Linked DNA regions of Schizosaccharomyces pombe. Changing the gene in region 4 together with the main gene of any one other region gives a genetic interaction. Each region holds a gene or a part of one and is shown on either strand. Other genes may lie near its edges. The genes, in order: sod2, SPOM_SPAC7D4.12C, idp1 and SPOM_SPBC8D2.16C.

Evidence for each region.
Region 1: mutations in SPOM_SPBC8D2.16C (region 4) and sod2 together harm fitness more than expected from each alone (negative genetic interaction), as found in Schizosaccharomyces pombe (one large-scale study listed by BioGRID).
Region 2: mutations in SPOM_SPBC8D2.16C (region 4) and SPOM_SPAC7D4.12C together harm fitness less than expected from each alone (positive genetic interaction), as found in Schizosaccharomyces pombe (one large-scale study listed by BioGRID).
Region 3: mutations in SPOM_SPBC8D2.16C (region 4) and idp1 together harm fitness more than expected from each alone (negative genetic interaction), as found in Schizosaccharomyces pombe (one large-scale study listed by BioGRID).

The regions. Positions count from the first base shown.
Region 1 is NC_003424.3:3,183,378-3,187,084, reverse strand, and holds sod2 (manganese superoxide dismutase), read right to left. Parts: upstream 1,754-3,707; 5' UTR 1,616-1,753; coding exon 1,508-1,615; exon of another isoform or gene 1,385-1,507; coding exon 836-1,384; 3' UTR 501-835; downstream 1-500. Other genes in the region: Golgi Dsc E3 ligase complex transmembrane subunit, C-terminal UBA domain Dsc2, read left to right, coding at 1-331. UniProt on the Schizosaccharomyces pombe protein: Destroys superoxide anion radicals which are normally produced within the cells and which are toxic to biological systems.
Region 2 is NC_003424.3:2,612,935-2,618,141, reverse strand, and holds SPOM_SPAC7D4.12C (uncharacterized protein), read right to left. Parts: upstream 3,336-5,207; 5' UTR 3,101-3,335; coding exon 821-3,100; 3' UTR 547-820; downstream 1-546. Other genes in the region: secretory pathway protein Sec39, read right to left, coding at 1-167; SPOM_SPAC7D4.13C (uncharacterized protein), read right to left, coding at 3,836-4,759, 4,832-4,846.
Region 3 is NC_003424.3:3,229,344-3,233,501, forward strand, and holds idp1 (isocitrate dehydrogenase Idp1), read left to right. Parts: upstream 1-2,036; 5' UTR 2,037-2,192; coding exon 2,193-3,512; 3' UTR 3,513-3,633; downstream 3,634-4,158. Other genes in the region: cbc1 (nuclear cap-binding complex large subunit), read left to right, coding at 1-1,581.
Region 4 is NC_003423.3:1,385,760-1,390,540, reverse strand, and holds SPOM_SPBC8D2.16C (uncharacterized protein), read left to right. Parts: upstream 1-1,659; 5' UTR 1,660-1,803; coding exon 1,804-1,929; exon of another isoform or gene 1,930-1,972; coding exon 1,973-2,794; 3' UTR 2,795-3,089; coding exon of another isoform or gene 3,090-4,154; 3' UTR 4,155-4,195; downstream 4,196-4,781. Other genes in the region: alpha-1,2-galactosyltransferase Gmh4, read right to left, coding at 1-358; lipoic acid synthetase Lip5, read right to left, coding at 3,090-4,154, 4,196-4,243.

The DNA.
Region 1 (3,707 bases), on a different chromosome or scaffold from region 4:
TTCTCCGACTCGACAGAACGCTCGAGCAACAGCTATCGCTTCTTCATCCAATACTGCAGCATCGTTCCGTAATCGTCAGCAAATATCACATCCTCCCCTTGGTCGAACCTCGTCATCTTCTGTTCTCCCAACAGGACCGGCTTCTCAGTTGTACGATATGTTAAGCGGCCGATCAGAACGTCCTGAATTAGGAAATATTAGAGAAGAGGATATAAACACTGTCCAAACGATTATGCAAACTTCTAGAGCTCAAGCTATCCAGGCCTTATCTCAAACTAACGATGTGCAGAGAGCTGTAGAATTGTTATTGGAGCAAACAGCCGACTATTAAACTGTTCTTTAATCAAGCGATCACAAAACAACACATTTCTTATCTTCGTTCTTTCCTGTTTAAAATTTTGCTAATTTTGAACATCATTTCTTACCATGAATTATTTACATTTCCTACATAGCAATTGTTTTGTCCCATTTATCATAAGCTAATTGTTTACTGTCAATGATTGCGCAAACCTGTGAGTGGTGAAGGTTTCTAGTCTTTTATTTTTTACTTTATTCGTAAATATGGATCTGTAGTAATCGTTAACGAAAAAATTTGGTATTGTCTAATAGCTTTATTTCAGGAAATTTCAATGTAAAATTTAGTTCATTCATTGATCAAAGGTAGTAGACTAGAAACTTATCAAATCTATGAATTTGAAAATTCAAAGCTACTGCCAAAAAGAAACACAAAAATAAAATAACAAAACATCACACTTTCCTGGTAATTGATACTTTGTTAGCTGGATAGATAGATGAGCAGGGTGTTTTCGTAATCGAGCATAACATGTTTAAGGACTTAACGGTTGGAATAACGAGACTCGGCCTCTTTCCAATTAATCACATTCCAAATAGCTTTAAAGTATTCGGCCTTACGATTCTCGTATTGAGGATAGTAGGCATGTTCCCAAGCATCAATTCCAATAATGGGCTTGGACTTGACAATCGTGTCTTGGTTAGCAGTAGTAGTAATACGGAGACTACCGTCTTTATCCACGATTAGCCATGCCCAACCACTACCTTGGATGCTAGCTAAGGCGGCATTCATTTCCTTCTGGAAATCCTCCAAAGAACCCCATTTAGAGGTTATAGCCTTATGTAAAGATCCAGAGGTGACGGGTTTGCCACCACCTTCCTTTTGAGGTGCTAAAATCTTCCAAAAGAGAGAATGATTGATGTGACCACCGCCATTGAATTTAATAGCAGCTTGAAGGGCAACCTCTCCCTCCAAATCGAGGTTGGGATCGGCCAGCTTCTCCTGAGCGGCATTCAAGTTGTTAACATATGTTTGGTGATGCTTGTCATGATGTAACTTCATAATCGTTTCCGACAAAGCAGGTTCAAGTGCCTAAAGCTATAGTTAGTAATCATCATTAACAAATTAACTAGACAGTGGGAAACATCCAAAACTTATGATTGCTTCAGAACCCATCAACATGAGCAATTGCTTTTACAACTATTTATTGCATACATTGTAAGCATAAGGTAAAGGGGGAAGAGTAGCCTTAGTATGAACTCCCCTGGCAATTGAGACGTTCCTAATAGCGGCTACAGAGTTCTTAGACAAAAAGCGAAGCATCGTTAAAATGAGATCAAAAGTAAAAAAGTAATAGCAACCAAAGTGACCAACGAACAAAGTAAACCGAAATGTTTTCTTTGTTAAATACCTTAACTTATAACTAAATTGTACGGTTTGATTGAACAAATCGTATATGGTAGAGGGAAAGTATGGAGTAGGGTGAAAGGAGCCTATATAAATTCTCGAAATTACGTCTGGCCTATGAAATGTCTGGAGAAAGTCATTTCCGAAATATTACACCAAAAATGTGGTAAACAACAAATTGTGCAACTTGTTAATGAACCATTAAGAACTAGTTTTATAGAGTAGAATGTGAAGTTCAACGTATCTTCATTTCACCAACTTCTCAAAATTCTCTGCATTCATTTAGCAATCTTCATTACTCTAGGTTACTAGATTATAGCAATGTAATAATATTTACTACGACATTATTATCAAGCAAAAAATTTTGGAAGGTTTTGTTAAGTGCAAGCAATTAATGGTACTTGAACTTATAGAAATGACAACTCAACAAATGTTACTGAAGTTTAAAAGGGCAACTTCTTTACATTGAATTGTTAGAAATGATTTTACAATACCGAATCAAGAATTCGGCGAGTGCAACTAGTAGTGTGATTAGTACATTGTAAATATTTTATTTTTTCAAATTGACTTCTGATGCGATTGAGTATTGATGCAATTGAAAAATCCGTCCTGCAACAAATTACCCTTATAAGCACACAATGAAAAAAGAAACAGCGGCTCTACTAGTTAAAGGGTATCGAAATCAGAGTTGAAGGAATTGCCTTTGCAAAATAGATAAGTAGTGCAGCGAAGCGGTAATAACGAGGAAGTAACTCGGCAAATATTTGTACAGTTAATAAAACTGTACTTGAAGTTTAATATTTTCAACTTTCTATACAAAAATTGATTGATATTCATGAGTTACGCAATTCGCTTTTTGAACCAGAAATAAGCATCGGCTAATTTTAGTAGTTAATTATACATATATTTTTTTCATGTATTTTATATTGTGTTTTTTTATTTTTTAGGTTAATTGCTTGTATAAATTTTTTGTGTAATTTTTATCGTGTTTTTTTTTATTAATGGTGCATGAAACTTCTTTTTCTTTTTCTTTATTTTGGGTGAGACAAAGTGTAACTCAAAGTATAATTCGCGTTCTAGCAAGTATAGCTACAATGTGTATTTCCCAATTTTTTTTTTTTTTTTTTTTTAAGGAATAAAGATCATGATTGCATAAAATAATTTGTTCTTTCCTAATCAATTGGCAAATATCAATGATTATTGATTAACGATATTGATGCATTAAACAATGTAATCGTTAGGAAGTTCAAATGCTGTCATTGAAATTATTCATTTTTAAAGAGCTATTCAATTACAATGGAGTATGTAGGTTAGTAGGTGCGATGATGGGTATTTATTTACCTTTTCATCAAAAACAAAAAAATTTACTAAGTTACCATATGACAAAACAGTTGCAAACCGCAATTAATGTAGTCCTTTTCTTCTTACTAAAAATTTTTGAATCTCAGCATTTTCTTATAATAAATAAGCAAGTGTTTTGAAACCCCAAACATTGTTTTTAGATTTACATACCGTCCTTTGGTTAAGTAATTAATTAATTCATACATCTTTAATTATTTCAACAGTAATTTCCACAAACTCGATAAAACTATATCGTCATAATCATTCTGAAAAGATATACTGTCTTTTTCAAACTGTAGACCCGAATCAGATTCTTAATCAACTTATTTTAAGCATGAAATATTACTCGCTAACAAATCTACAAACTAGGAAAACAGGGAAATTAAAAAATTATGGATAGTATTAATAACTGTTCTCTGTCCAAGCTTCGTATTCTATTATTCAGTATAATGCTCTTTGTTTACCTACTACAAATTAGTATTTCTCGGATCATAATACTTTTGTTTTGTACAGAAACATAATGAAATAATATAAAAGTACTTTCCTGATTTTTTAGAGCCTTTGCTAAAAAGGTAATTGTAAAAACACGTTGTGACAATAAATTATAAAGCTTCGCAGATTTACTATTAAATTTTTTTTTAATTTCTATGTGTCAAAATATAATTTA
Region 2 (5,207 bases), on a different chromosome or scaffold from region 4:
AATCGAAGTAAAAGTGAAAGCCAATTGCCTTTAGTGTAATCCAGTAACTTGTAAACAAATTTAGCTTCAGGTAATTTCTTATTAATTATTAGAGATATTAAAAGGTACAATTTTTGTGATTCAGTTAATGAAAATAACCATTTGGACTCCAATTTGTCTTCATTCATAATATGAGCTTGGAAAGAAGGTAAGAGTCAGGGTAAACATTACTTACCATGGGATGAGGTGATAGTAGGTCAAGTTTCCTTAACTAAGATATTTTTAGTTTAGCATTATTGAACTTAATAATAGCTTGTTAGTAGGAATTATTAAGATACATTAGGAAGTTTTTACCGTTATTTACATATCTCAATAAACTCATGATTTTTTTATGCTTTCCTACAAATATTAATATTTTCAAGCGGCGTCAATAAAGTCTTTTAATATACAAAACGCAGTCTAGTTATTCAAAACATCAGCAAATCACGAATACAGCATAAATTATATATCAGAATTATTTACGAGAAGTTGTACTCATGCTCTATATAATCTTTACAATAAGCTCTGCTAAATCTTTGTAATAAATTGATTAATTTTTTTAATAATCAGAGAAAATGATACTCTATATGCTAGGAAATACTAATAAATAATAAAAAATCAAGTGAAGTTGATTAATAAATAATATCCGACGTCTCAGTACGGCATAACTTAAGCCATAAAGATCAAAATAGATTTAAATTTTGATATTTTTTAAAGAAAAAAATTCCGGATTTTCTAGAACCAGTAAAGAGGAAGCTTTATAAAAATGTGAATTTTTGAAAAAATTGAAAAACGAATATTGTCAAAAACTAAATAAGCCAGATCGTCGTTTTCCGAAAGGATACACTACCAATGCAGACGCAAATAGGCCAACAGAAATTCCGATAGCAATTTGAACCATAACCAAACCGAATTTTAAAGAATTAACATCCAAAGTAGAAGAACTTGAGGTGTTGTAAGTATTGTTCGTTAAAGAAGTAGCAACTTCAATGCCAGAAGAAATACCACCTTGAGCAGCCAAACCAGAGGGGACTTGAACAAATATAGCAGGCAATACAGCAGCGAACGCAACTCCTCGACCTAAACGTGAATATATATTACCCAAACAACCAATCGCAAAAGAACCAATTGCATTCGCAATCGGATTTGATCCGAAATGCTTGGCGGTGAAATAATTAACGACATAGCCTGCACAAGATATGAAAATCGAAACAGGCCATTGAGAGGGCCTTGCCTGATTTACAATTAAAAGACACAAAGTAAACAAGGGAACAAACAAAATTTTCCATTTATCATCCATTTGAGTAGATACCGGACATGAAGTTGAGTCAGTGGCATTATGATCCATCCAACCATAAAGAGCTGCCCCAATTGATATACCGAAACTCAAAAATAAAGAATAAATGATGGCATAAAACATTCGAACTCCTCCTGCCACAATATTTTTACTTTGTAGCTCCAGCGAACCACAAAGTACGATATAACCTGGAAGAATTAACACAATCGCGCCCTCCGCAAGCGCAGAAAAACAGAATCGACGACCACCAGAATACCGAATGCTACCAAAAGCTCTACTTAGAAAAGATGTAATAATTGAGCCAGTCACCTCAAAAAGACTATTATACATGGTTGAACGAGGAGCGATATAGTGCTGAAGAATCCCTACGAGGCAACCTAATATAAATGCAATAGGCAAATCAATCCATCCGCCTTGAAAAGACATCGGCAGAATAGTGGCACTAGCAAAACCATAAAAAACAACAAGTATCCAAGTTCTAAAATAAGGAGGAGATTTAAAAATTTCATCTAAACCTCTAATTGCCTCCTCAACACCCATACGGTCGTGCAAAACAGCTTTATATATGTCATGGACCAACTTCAAACGCCCAAGATCAATTGTTTGATTTACACGAACAATGTGCATATCAGAAGTATGAGTGTTAACATCACCAAATGACACTATCATACATCCAGGAATGTACAAAAATTGTCCCTCTATTTCGAGAACCTTTGCTGCAGAAGCCATATGTTCTTCTAAACGATGACTAGGAGCACCATATACCATTAAAGCACGGCATAGTTTTAAAATATATTTTTGGCGTTGTAAAATGTCAGCCAAATGAATAGTGATTTTATATTCTTCGTTCAAACCAGAATTCTTCCTACTGTGATGGTGAAAATTAAATTTTCTACCACGAGAATGACCTGTTTTAGAGAATTGAGGAATTTCCTCCGTAGACTGCAAGCCAGAAGCAGGCGCCATAAAAGTCTGATTTGATGCGTGCAAAAGGTCTGTAAGTGAATTACTAGAAGCAGTCCTTTTAGCGTGTTTTTGCCATTTTGTAGGATCAGTGTGCTTCAAAGAAATCCTACTGGATGTAACTGTATTAGAATTTGTATACAACTTCAGCAAATTTGACAATACGCCGCCACGATAAGAAGCCTTAGGATTAGCAAATGGATCAGATTCATCTATATTGTCATCTTGTTCGTTATCTTTAACATCTTCTCCTTCATCATTAGCGGCCTTCAAAGCGTTTAGCCTCATATGCTCTAATCGAGCTGCCGTGTGAGCAGCAACAAGCTTGTACGCTTCTGTTGTAGTAGAGGGTAGTTCATTAGTTGATTCGACATTAGACATTTTTTCCGGATCGCTCTGTAAATTTTTAGCAGCGATCATAGGTGCTGAGTAGCTTCTATCCAGAGTAGGCCTACGCATTGGTAAGCTATTGACGGAATTTGAACTACTTTGGGTTTTATAGCTAGCTGCATAGCTTTCAACGTCTGTATTCCTAGCATCCAATAGGCCTACTTTTGATGCGGTAGGACTTGGAACAGCCGGCATGTTTACTAAATATTGATCCATGGAAGTTATAGAGCCTCTTTTGCGAAAAGCAGCAGGAGAAGGCGCCCTATGAACAGGAAGAACCTGTGGTCCATCATCATCCTCTGTATCTTCATCATCTTCTTCTATTAAAAATGTAGGGGTCTGAAACGAAGTGGAACTCGGAAAAGATGTTTGTAAGGGAGAGAGGTAAGGTCGTCTATCGGTATTGAAACGCACTCTACGATTTCCGTCCATTGTTTTTTATTTTTCTAAAAAATAACTTTTCTTTTCTAAAATGATAATAAAATTTGAAGATATTCGTGTCGCTGATGTTAATCGCAACAATCAACACACGCCCATAAAAAATCTAATTTACTTCATTCAATGAATCATCACAAATATGATCAATTGTTTTAAAATAATTTAAAACAATTGCAATTCACTAGTTGAAGCACTACAGTTTTCAATTGACACTCCTAAGTGGGTTTATGCTAGGTGGTTAGTGAACACTTTACGCCTCTATACCAAAAATTCCACGTGGTTCGCCTTAATGTCGTTCGTGTCTAGAGCCAGCTTTAGGGAGTAATCAGTATTTTATATTTATTCTTTTAAAATTCTCCGGCCGTATAATAAAAAATTGATGGTTTCTGATGCTGTCGGCGGCGACGCAAATTCATTAAATATGAAATATATTTACTGCCCAGCTTTAAAAAAAAATATACAACTTAAACGACAAAGCTTCCCTCACTTTATTCTGCCACTTATCTATATTAAAAATGTATTTACTTATTACTTTAATTAGTTTTTACAAATGACCATTAAACTCTGTCAACATAATATCCTGTTTCTACAGGATACAGTCATTTATTTAATGAATAATCATCGGTAGTTACTAGCATTATAGCATTCATGCCACGAATCTCAGACCGTGAAATAAAATACTATATAAAAAGATTATAAGCAGCATTAAGCCAGTAATTTTCGTTAGTATTATTTGGTTTTATTCAAATAAGCCGATGATAATAGAATGTCACGAAAAGCGAGATTCATGGAAACAGAAAGTTTTAACTCGGTGCCCCGAAAAATAAAATAATTAACCAACATCAACAACTCGTCTCTGGAAAATGCATTTAAAAATGTTGTTTTCAAGTCAGTTTCATAAAATCTTTTTCTTGCTTTAGCAAGACTTTTGATATGTAAAGGTTCTAAGTCAAGATGAAGAAAAATCTGTAAATTGTTTATTATATTCAAATTCTCCAGCACATACTTATTGTAAAAGTCATCTGTAAGGCTCATCGTGCTAGCTTTAGAATACTGATAAAACAAAATCCTTAAAGCTGCCATAGGAGGAAGGATTGCCATATCCAAGAACTTTTGAATTAGGAAAGAGGGGTAAGGAATCAATAAATTTCGTGGACTTTTAAATTTTGATAAGATATACTGCTGGTCCTTTTCAAATTTCATATTTTCTCTTCGAGAAAATGACCACGAGATGTCTCCTAATGTCTCAGCAGTCATAGGATAAGGCACGAATGAAAGAAGGTGTCTATTCCTTTTAAAAGGATGCAACAAAGACGATTTTGAAAATTCCAAAAGATTTGCATTCGTGATCCCATGTTTTGTAAGAATATCAGTTATTTTTTCGATAACTGGGTATGGTTGGTTTACTAAAAGTAAACATGCACTCGGAGAGCTTTTAATTTCAGGAATTAGTTTATGAATTGAGTCGACAGTTAGATTCCATTTGGTAGATACTATAAAGGTCACTCCCTTGTATCCAGTATATTCTTGAACTTTAAAAATGCTATGTGCATTTTCGGGATATTTAGTAATACATTTAACGCCCTTTAAAAATTCATTTTTCAGTTTCGTCTTTAAAAGTTGTATTGCTGAGTTTTTGATGTTATGAGTACCCTAGGTTTTAGTAGTTAGAGAAAGAAAGAGAAAAATAATGATATGTAATATTCATTCAAAAAGCTAACCTACAATAAATAGACTCATACGTCTAAATGAGTTGTTTCGACCGTCCGAATTTTGCTTTTATTAAGTCCAGTAGAATAATCGCTGTAGACGTAAGTAAAAGGTCTCTTATGTTACAGTCAATTAGGGTTTATGTGTCTTTTACATGCTAATGTTAACTAAAGAAACTTTTTCAAAATTTCTTCAATAATCTTGCATTTGGGAGCTTTAAAATTTGATTATCGAATAAGAAAGTAATATAACTATTCACATAATCCATAGTCTCTTTGTTTATTCACATCCATTAGAATAGGCTTACAAAGTACTTATACTATTTATGAAACGCCTCTTATTAATCATCTAAAAAAGTATTTATGTATAAATGAATTTGAAAATGTTAACT
Region 3 (4,158 bases), on a different chromosome or scaffold from region 4:
ATATCTCAACCCTGGAAGTTTTTTGAATCTGATTTCGTTCATATTGTTCCGGTTAGCCCAAGTATTCCTGAATGGACGTTTCAGCCCACTCCTCAGCAAAATGAGCTACCTTCCTTCAAGAGATTTTTTGAGCTTTTTAATAACTTTGAAATTCGCACGACTCCTGACGCTTCCGACGTTGCAGCCAGCATATTTCGTGATATAAGTGTGGATGTTATAAACCATTTGGAATTTAACCGAGTTGAGGCTGCTCAAGTTCTTACAGATTTAGATGTTTATTTTACCTACAAAACTTTTGCTCTTCGTGGTACTCCAGTAAATGAATTACCAAATTTAGATCCATCGGAATCACGTTGGAAAGCAGAAGATATCATAGTTGAAGCTGTTTTGGGTGAGCTTCTTGGTTCACAGAATACTACGTATAAACCTGTCTATTATCATTCGCTTTTGATTGAATGCTGCCGTATCGCTCCTAAAATTTTGGCTCCAACTTTTGGAAGGGTCATTCGGCTAATGTATACCATGTCTTCTGATTTACCTTTACAAACACTTGATCGATTTATTGACTGGTTTTCACATCACCTTAGTAATTTCAACTTTCACTGGAAGTGGAATGAGTGGATTCCTGACGTTGAGCTGGACGATCTTCATCCAAAAAAAGTTTTTATGCGGGAAACTATTACTAGGGAACTTATTTTAAGCTATTACACAAGAATTTCTGACTCACTCCCTGAAGAGTTACGTTGTTTGCTTGGCGAACAACCGTCGGGTCCCAATTTCGTGTACGAAAATGAGACTCATCCGCTATATCAACAGTCAAGTCAAATTATCGAAGCATTGAGATTACATAAACCGTTAGAAGAACTTGACATTATTTTGCAGAGCGAGGAGATTCAAAACTCCGAGACATCTGCTGTCCGATTAGTTATGTCTTGTGCTTATAGCTTGGGTTCGAGATCGTTTTCGCACGCATTGAACGTGTTCGAGAAACATCTTAATACATTGAAACATTTTTCTCGAAAATCATTAGATTCCGAAATAGAGGTTGTTGATGAACTTTTTTCATTTTGGAAATTACAACCGTTCAACGCAGTTATGTGGCTAGATAAAATGCTGAACTACTCTATAATTAGTATTACCTCTATTATTGAGTGGTTGATCAAGCAAGACGTGACTATATGGTCTCGTAGTTATACGTGGTCACTTGTTAACACCACTTTTAATAAATTAGCAGCTAGATTGCGGCGTTCGGTTTCTAACAAAGAAGACTCTTCGCTAATCAATGAAGCGAATGAGGAAAAGGAAATTGTCACGAATTTACTATTGTCAGCTTTGCGCGCCCTTATTTCCGAAAATGCTGAAAATATATGGGTATCTCATTGGCTTAACCTTATGTTAAAATATGTGGAATCAAATTTCCTCTCTGTTAAAAAGGACACGATAGAAGAAGCAAACGAGCCTGTTCAAGAAAATACCAGTGAGGAACAGGAAGACACAAAAATGCAACCCGTCGACGCAGTAGATGAGCAGCCATCAGAAAATAATCAAACAGCAGCTGATGCAACTAATGAGGAAAAATAAAGAAAGTAGTCTATAACAAAAATGAAGAAAGTGTTGTTTTGATATCAAAAAGATTAAACTGAAGAACTCGACTGGTAATCACGACGTTGTCAATCTGCTACAACGTTTGAACGTGGATATAGCTTATATTAAATATTTAATTATAACGTCCCATTTTCATAAGCACTTGTAGGACGCTGCTGCACTTCACAGTTAAGTTACTAGAAACGAAGATTTCAATTTTATAGGTAACAGGGTTATCAGATCTATCAGAGGTAACGGATATCTAAAGATAAGATATTTTACGATCGACTTGTCGGTTCTAGTTTTGCGTAGTGTCATACTATGTGAGCGAATGGATAAGCGAAATGTTCACTCACATCTCCGATATCAGAAGTGACTAAATCTTTTCTCAGTTTAACGAAAGGATTGCTAAAATGTAACAAAATCACTACTGCCATCAGTAACTTACACTTAACCAACCACTTTGTGCTATTGTAAGAAGTAGTGAGGAACAGAGGCAGTTTGGTGGATAGAACTAGGATTTAAGGGACATTTGCACAGCTACTCCTTCTCAACTTAGCTTCGTCGAATATTTCATTTACTTTAAAGGATAAAAAAACTGACACAATATGTTGGAAGTACGTGCTGCCGTAAAGGCACCTTTCAAGTTGGCTGCCGCAGGCCGTGGTTTCATGAATATGCGTATGGCTTCAAGCAAATCTTTTCAAAAGATCACTGTTAAAAACCCAGTCGTTGAAATGGATGGTGATGAGATGACGAGAGTGATTTGGAAGATCATTCGTGAAAAGTTGGTTCTCCCATATATGGACATTAAATTGGATTATTATGACCTTGGAATCGAAGCTCGCGATAAGACAAACGACCAAATTACTGTGGATGCAGCCAAAGCTATCCTCAAAAATGATGTCGGTATCAAATGTGCCACCATTACTCCTGATGAGGCTCGTGTGAAAGAGTATAACCTCAAGAAGATGTGGAAGTCTCCCAATGGTACCATTCGTAACATTTTGAATGGTACAGTATTTCGGGAGCCCATTTTAATCAAAAACATTCCCAAGTATATTCCTGGATGGACGAACCCTATTTGTATCGGGCGTCATGCCTTTGGAGATCAATACAAGTCAACGGACTTGGTAGCTTCAGGCCCCGGTAAGTTGGAACTTTCATTCACCCCTAAAGGTAATCCTTCTGCTAAAGAAACATACAATGTTTACGAGTTCAACGGTAGTGGTGTAGCTATGTCTATGTACAACACTGACGACTCTATTCGTGGATTTGCTCACAGTTCTTTCCAAATGGCTTTGCAAAAGAAAATGCCACTTTATCTTTCCACTAAGAATACAATTTTGAAAAAATATGATGGTAGATTTAAGGATACATTCCAAGAAGTATATGAATCTGATTACAAGCAAAAGTTTGAGGAACTAGGTTTATGGTATCAACATCGTCTAATTGATGACATGGTAGCCCAAGCTATTAAGTCCAATGGTGGTTTTGTTTGGGCATGCAAAAATTACGATGGTGATGTTATGTCGGATGTGGTTGCCCAAGCTTATGGATCCTTAGGCCTAATGACTTCTGTCCTCATTCATCCCAACGGTCGCACTTTTGAGAGTGAGGCTGCTCATGGTACTGTACAGCGTCACTACATGCAATACTTGAAAGGTAAGAAGACTTCAACCAACAGTATTGCCTCTATCTTTGCCTGGACTCGTGGTCTTGCCCATCGTGGTCGTTTAGATGGCAACGAACGTTTAGTTAAGTTTGCCAACGCCCTCGAGCATGCTTGTGTTCGATGCGTTGAGAAGGGTATTATGACAAAGGATCTTTACCTTCTCAGCAAGTCTCCCAATGGTTATGTTGATACATTCGAGTTTTTGGATGCCGTCAAGTCCGAGCTCGATTCGGAATTGGTCAACATTGCCTAATTTTAGTGTTAGACCTGTTGATTAGTGAGTCTTTGAAGTTTAAGTTCTGGATTATTCAATCATGTTTTTACTAGGATACTTTTTGTTAAAACAATTATTTTGAAGTGTGTGCATTTATATTATTTTACAATTAACAGTGGAGTGTAGGAAGTCATTTCTATTAATCATGAAATTTTGTAAATTTTTTATGCATATTCAGACCATGACACTATTATCTAATTTTTTTCAATTTTTTCCCCTTAAACGTAAAGGAAAAAGCTGAATGATTATTCATTTATTCATTGAAATCTTTCGGATTTCTTGCCGTTTATTGACTACAAATGTATCTTGATTCTTTAAAGCTTTGCTTCAAACCCACTTAAACATATTTATCTAGCAATTGATTGAGCCATAACAATTTAGGTAAAGGTCTAATATTAAAATTCAACAACTGAGCTAATAAACTAAACAATTGATGGACGTAAACCCCAACTACATTAAATGTATATCACTATGGAAATGCTTTCTATTATGTTCGAATACAATGAAGTTGTAACAAATATCATTTTAAAAACTGCTACTACTTAATTACTTGTAATTTCTGTTAAACTGATAAATAAAGTAAGCCTTTGTTCTTAGCTCCAAATGTTTTACGCAGCCAAATCTT
Region 4 (4,781 bases):
CATACCTCGCTTGAATATCGCGGGCTTTCTTGTGGACTAGGGTATAGCCATGACGCAAGGCATACTCTGTACGATCAGAAAGCACTTTATCCAGGAAGACAGAGCTGGAGTCAGATCTACTTGAATCATAATGGTCGTCAAAACTAACAATCAACATGACTACGGAATCAGGATCTTGTGGAGATGTTTTCGCCTTAGAAACACCTTTGTATGAAGAGGAATGGGCACTGGGAGAACCAATCGAATTGGAATAAACAGGCATTGAAGACTTTAAAGAATAAAAGCCAAAAAGCAATAAAACGATGGCCAAGAGACCTAAACTTTTTCCTCTACGAGAAAATAAACGAAAGTTGAACATCTTGCAGAATACAAAGTAAAAAAGTGCAAAACAAACAGTTTGCGAGAAAAAATGAGTTGGTTATGCGCGTCTATGGAACAAGATAACGGTTTAAAAGAATAAACCTTAGGGGTTTTTTAAATGTGCAAATAATGTAGAAAAGAAGGTAAGAGAATATCTGTAAATCGAGAAGGTATAAATAGAGAAGAGAAAAAAAGGTATAAAGATCTGGGTCGTAAAGAAAATGGAATATATATGGCCCTTTTTTAAATGCAAATAAATGATCCAACGATATATACGCGAGTATATCCGAAAATTAAAACAGTAAAGATGTTACAGAGGGCGTTTTCACTAAGAAATACGAAAAACCGGATAATGAAAGAAACCTTGCGAGAACACAACGCCTAGCTTTCAAAATGAGCCTTTTTGTCAAGCTATATCGGCGATATTTAAAAAAGAGGAAGATTCTACAATTTAAACAACAATAGATTATAGCTTATCCTGACAACAATCCTTTTACACCGTTTCAAAGACTACGAGTCAAGATGGACTGGTTATTGATATTGAATATGATTTTTACAGAAATCAGGATCCACCCAACCACGTACTAAGAGCAGAGAAACGTTGCTTTTATAATTGGCAGCAACTTGGCTGTATTTGTAGTCTGCGTGTTCGACATTCGAAGGATTTTGATTAACGTGTACGATGCATCCTACCTAACGTACTCTAACGTGTTTTTAGATTTTTTTAGTGATATTGAAATTATACTTTAAACTGTTATAGCGTTATACCCGGTGCTACTCATTATATAGCGAAAATCATAAAAGTAAATAGTAAATAGAGTAAGATTGAAGATGAATTGAATCAGAGTCGATGAACTTCTATTGACTTAAAAAATTATGTATGTAATTAATAAAATATCATCTTGTTTTTTCTACTAACAAATTTTTACAGCGGTTATATACAAGCTTCGGCGTGTATAGTTGGTTTATATAAATTGCAAGCAAAGTGTACACCATTTTTTTTATTATTTCCATATAAAGAAAAAAAAAAAAAAAAAAAAAGGGGATTCTATAGCCCTTTGGTATTTACGAAGACTCATTGATAGTTTAAATCGCACTCATTGAATGGCATTAAACACATTTGTTTGTTTGAATTTTTTTCATTGTTTATGAAGTACAGGATTTTTTTTTTTACCTATCAATAAAAGTATTGATATAAAATATCCCTTTACCTTGATCAATACTTCAAAAAAAATTTAAAATTAGTTTAATTATATTAAATGGACGGTTTTTAGCCTGGTAAATGAAATTCATGCCTTTACTCTTCACCAACTTTTTAAGACGTTAAAATTTTTATAAAAAGCCAAATCCTAATATTCTGTTTCCCAAGACAGCAAAAAGTAAATAAAATACTGCTACTTGGGCCATATTATTACTTCTCATTAATTGCTTACAGAAACTGCTATGGAAAAAGAAAGCGAAATACAAAGCTTACCACCAACGAGACGATATACGATATCTTTAGCATTACCTATTTCAAGTCTAAATGTAGCATACAATTTGCAGCTTAAAACGAGTTTTGTCTGGAAGGTTTGAAAGATTCGTTGTTGTCGCGTATTAACTCAAAATATAGATTTCGAGAATAGTTTCTCTATATGGTATTGACGAAATTATTTTGCTAGAGGACCCTGAATATGTGCAAAACACCCAGGTACATACACTTTCCTCTGATGCTTATTTAAAGGATCCCACAAAATTTCTCACGGACTTATTATGCTATTTCGAAACGCCTTTCTTTATGAGGAAGGAATTGTTTCCACTAAATCCACATCTAAAATATACTAGCTGCTTTCCATTACTTCCCCTCAGAAATGACAAGGCTAGCACAGTGAATATTGAATTCCCATACCGAGAGGGAATCGTTACTCATCCATCTCCGCAAGCAAAGAATAAATATATTATAAATGCTGGACTATCTCACAATGTAATCGTTTCCAGCCCCAGCGTCCTTGCTCCTAGAACAAGGGTCACGGTTCGATTAAAAGCGCAGTCTCCAAACGAAGAAGGCCAGCTTCAAGGTGATATCGTGTCTTTTTCAGCTCCACGAGAAAAAGGTGGTCATTATTGGGGTTACAAGGTGCGGTCATGTCTTTCTTCTCAGCTGTGTAAAAGTTCTCCTTACAAAGGTGGATATGACTTTGTTGTTCAAATCAACAGTCAGACTTCAGCTATTACTTCAAAAGAGTTAGAAGCGAGTTTACCAAGTTCGTTTCGGCATGCTGTTCTTGTTTTACAAGACAATGTCGTACAAAAAGAGCTCGTAGACTCCACTGCCAAAAGTATTTCTTTTAACCCATTCCCAGTTTCTTTTCTAAATGATCCCATTCCTGAAGAGATACTTTTGGCGGCCATGACCCGTTTGTCAGATATGTTGCTGATGCATGGACGACGATAAAGCCTAAATACTTACAAAGGTGAAGCTGTCTTTTTCTTACTTAAATATTATAAAGCTGTCTCGCTAATCAAGGAAAACAAAATCAATTTTGAATATGATAAATTATAAGGATAACTTGGGTATAAAGACGATATTAGAAACTAAGACGAGAATTATTATGATTAAAATTATATCTAAGAGTGTATTGTTGAAATAAAGAATAAAAAAATTTAAAAGATGATTCGAGTCAATGCAAAAAAGGGTAATTCTGTTGAAGACAAACTCCTATCGAGTGTACCTAGATAAGCAGCCATGTTTAAACACTCATAGAAGCAGGGTTTCCTGATCTCTTTTTAATAAGATTCTCCATAAAATATTCGCCAGCCTTATAGCTACTACGAACAAGTGGACCACTAGCCACGTATAAGAATCCTAATTTCTCTGCCACTTCTTTCCAATATTCAAACTTCTTAGGATGTACATACTCTTGCACTTTTAGGTGTCGTTTGGTAGGTCTCATATATTGACCAAAGGTAACGACATCTACATTATGTTCCAGGAGATCCTTAAGAGTTGTTAGAATTTCCGCATCGGTTTCACCTAGACCAAGCATAATACTGGTTTTAGTGATAAGGTGAGGACATGTTTTCTTCACATGTTTTAGCACGCTCAGACTTTGTCGATATGTGGCTCGTCGATCTCGAACAAATGGGGTAAGTTCCTCTACCGTTTCTACATTGTGTGCAAAGACGTCCAAACCAGATTTAGCTACAATCTCAACCAAATCCATTCTTCCACTAAAATCGGGGGTCAAAGCTTCTACCAAGATGTGCGGGGCTTTTTCTTTAATTTTTTGAATCGTTTTTGCTATATGATTGGCACCAAGGTCAGTCAGGTCATCTCTATCGACACTAGTGAGAACAATGTACCCAAGGTTCCATTGTTTGATGGCTTCTGCTGTATTTTCAGGCTCGTTGGGATCTAAAGGACCTGGACGGCGACTGGTCTTTACCGAACAAAAGCGACATCCACGAGTACAAGTATCACCCATAAGCATGATCGTAGCTGTGGCACGAGATTTGTCTTTACCTCCCCAGCATTCTCCAATATTCGGACATTTCGCTTCTTCACAAACCGTATGGAGATGAGATCCCCGCAAATCATGCTTTATTCGGTTAAAATTTGTTCCTAGTGGAACTTTGGTTTTAAGCCATGAAGGCAATCTTTTGTGTATAGAGCCATTTGGTAGCTCTACTTTTCTATCTAACTCGAAAGCTTCGTCAGCAGTCAATGGTTTATCCATGTTCAAGAAATCTGCAAATGATGGTCCTTTCGCCAACTTTTCTGAAAACCCTCCAGATTGAAACCTCACGGAGGCAAACTATGCTATATTAATAAAACTATAAATAAAAGAAAACTCACCCAAAAATTGTTTTTTAATATCGTAGCATTTCGACCTATTTTCAACATTGCTGTGTAGAGGAAGTAAGGACTATTAGACAGTATGGGATTGGATATAAAGTACTAACCTTACTACTACCTATTATCCGTGTTAGCCCATCAATAGAAAACAGATGTTTTAAACGTTATTTTACCTATTAAACAGTCTCCTTCATAATTCGAAGTTTCGTTTTTTTTGTTGAATACGACTCAGTTTGTGGACAATTGTAAGAAAATTCAAAACATTAAACCAAGCTGTTTACCATAGTTTTGGACACTAATCAGCCAAACTACAAGCGTAAAGTAAAGATATAATTGAATATTTTTTTCAAATAAACTCTCAAAATTTTGTGGTCTCACGTACTATGGTAAATTTCTCGTCATAGGGATTCTCCTATTTTTTGAGTGATTTTCAAAACTTTAGCTTCCTATTATGAATATGTATAGTATGTTTCTGCAAGGTCACTTTGATTTCGACTTCGATTTACTCATTTATGAAAGCCCTGTAAAAACAGGCCTAGACAGATTTTCTATGTAACCTTTTAATTTTAGAGACACATATGAGTAT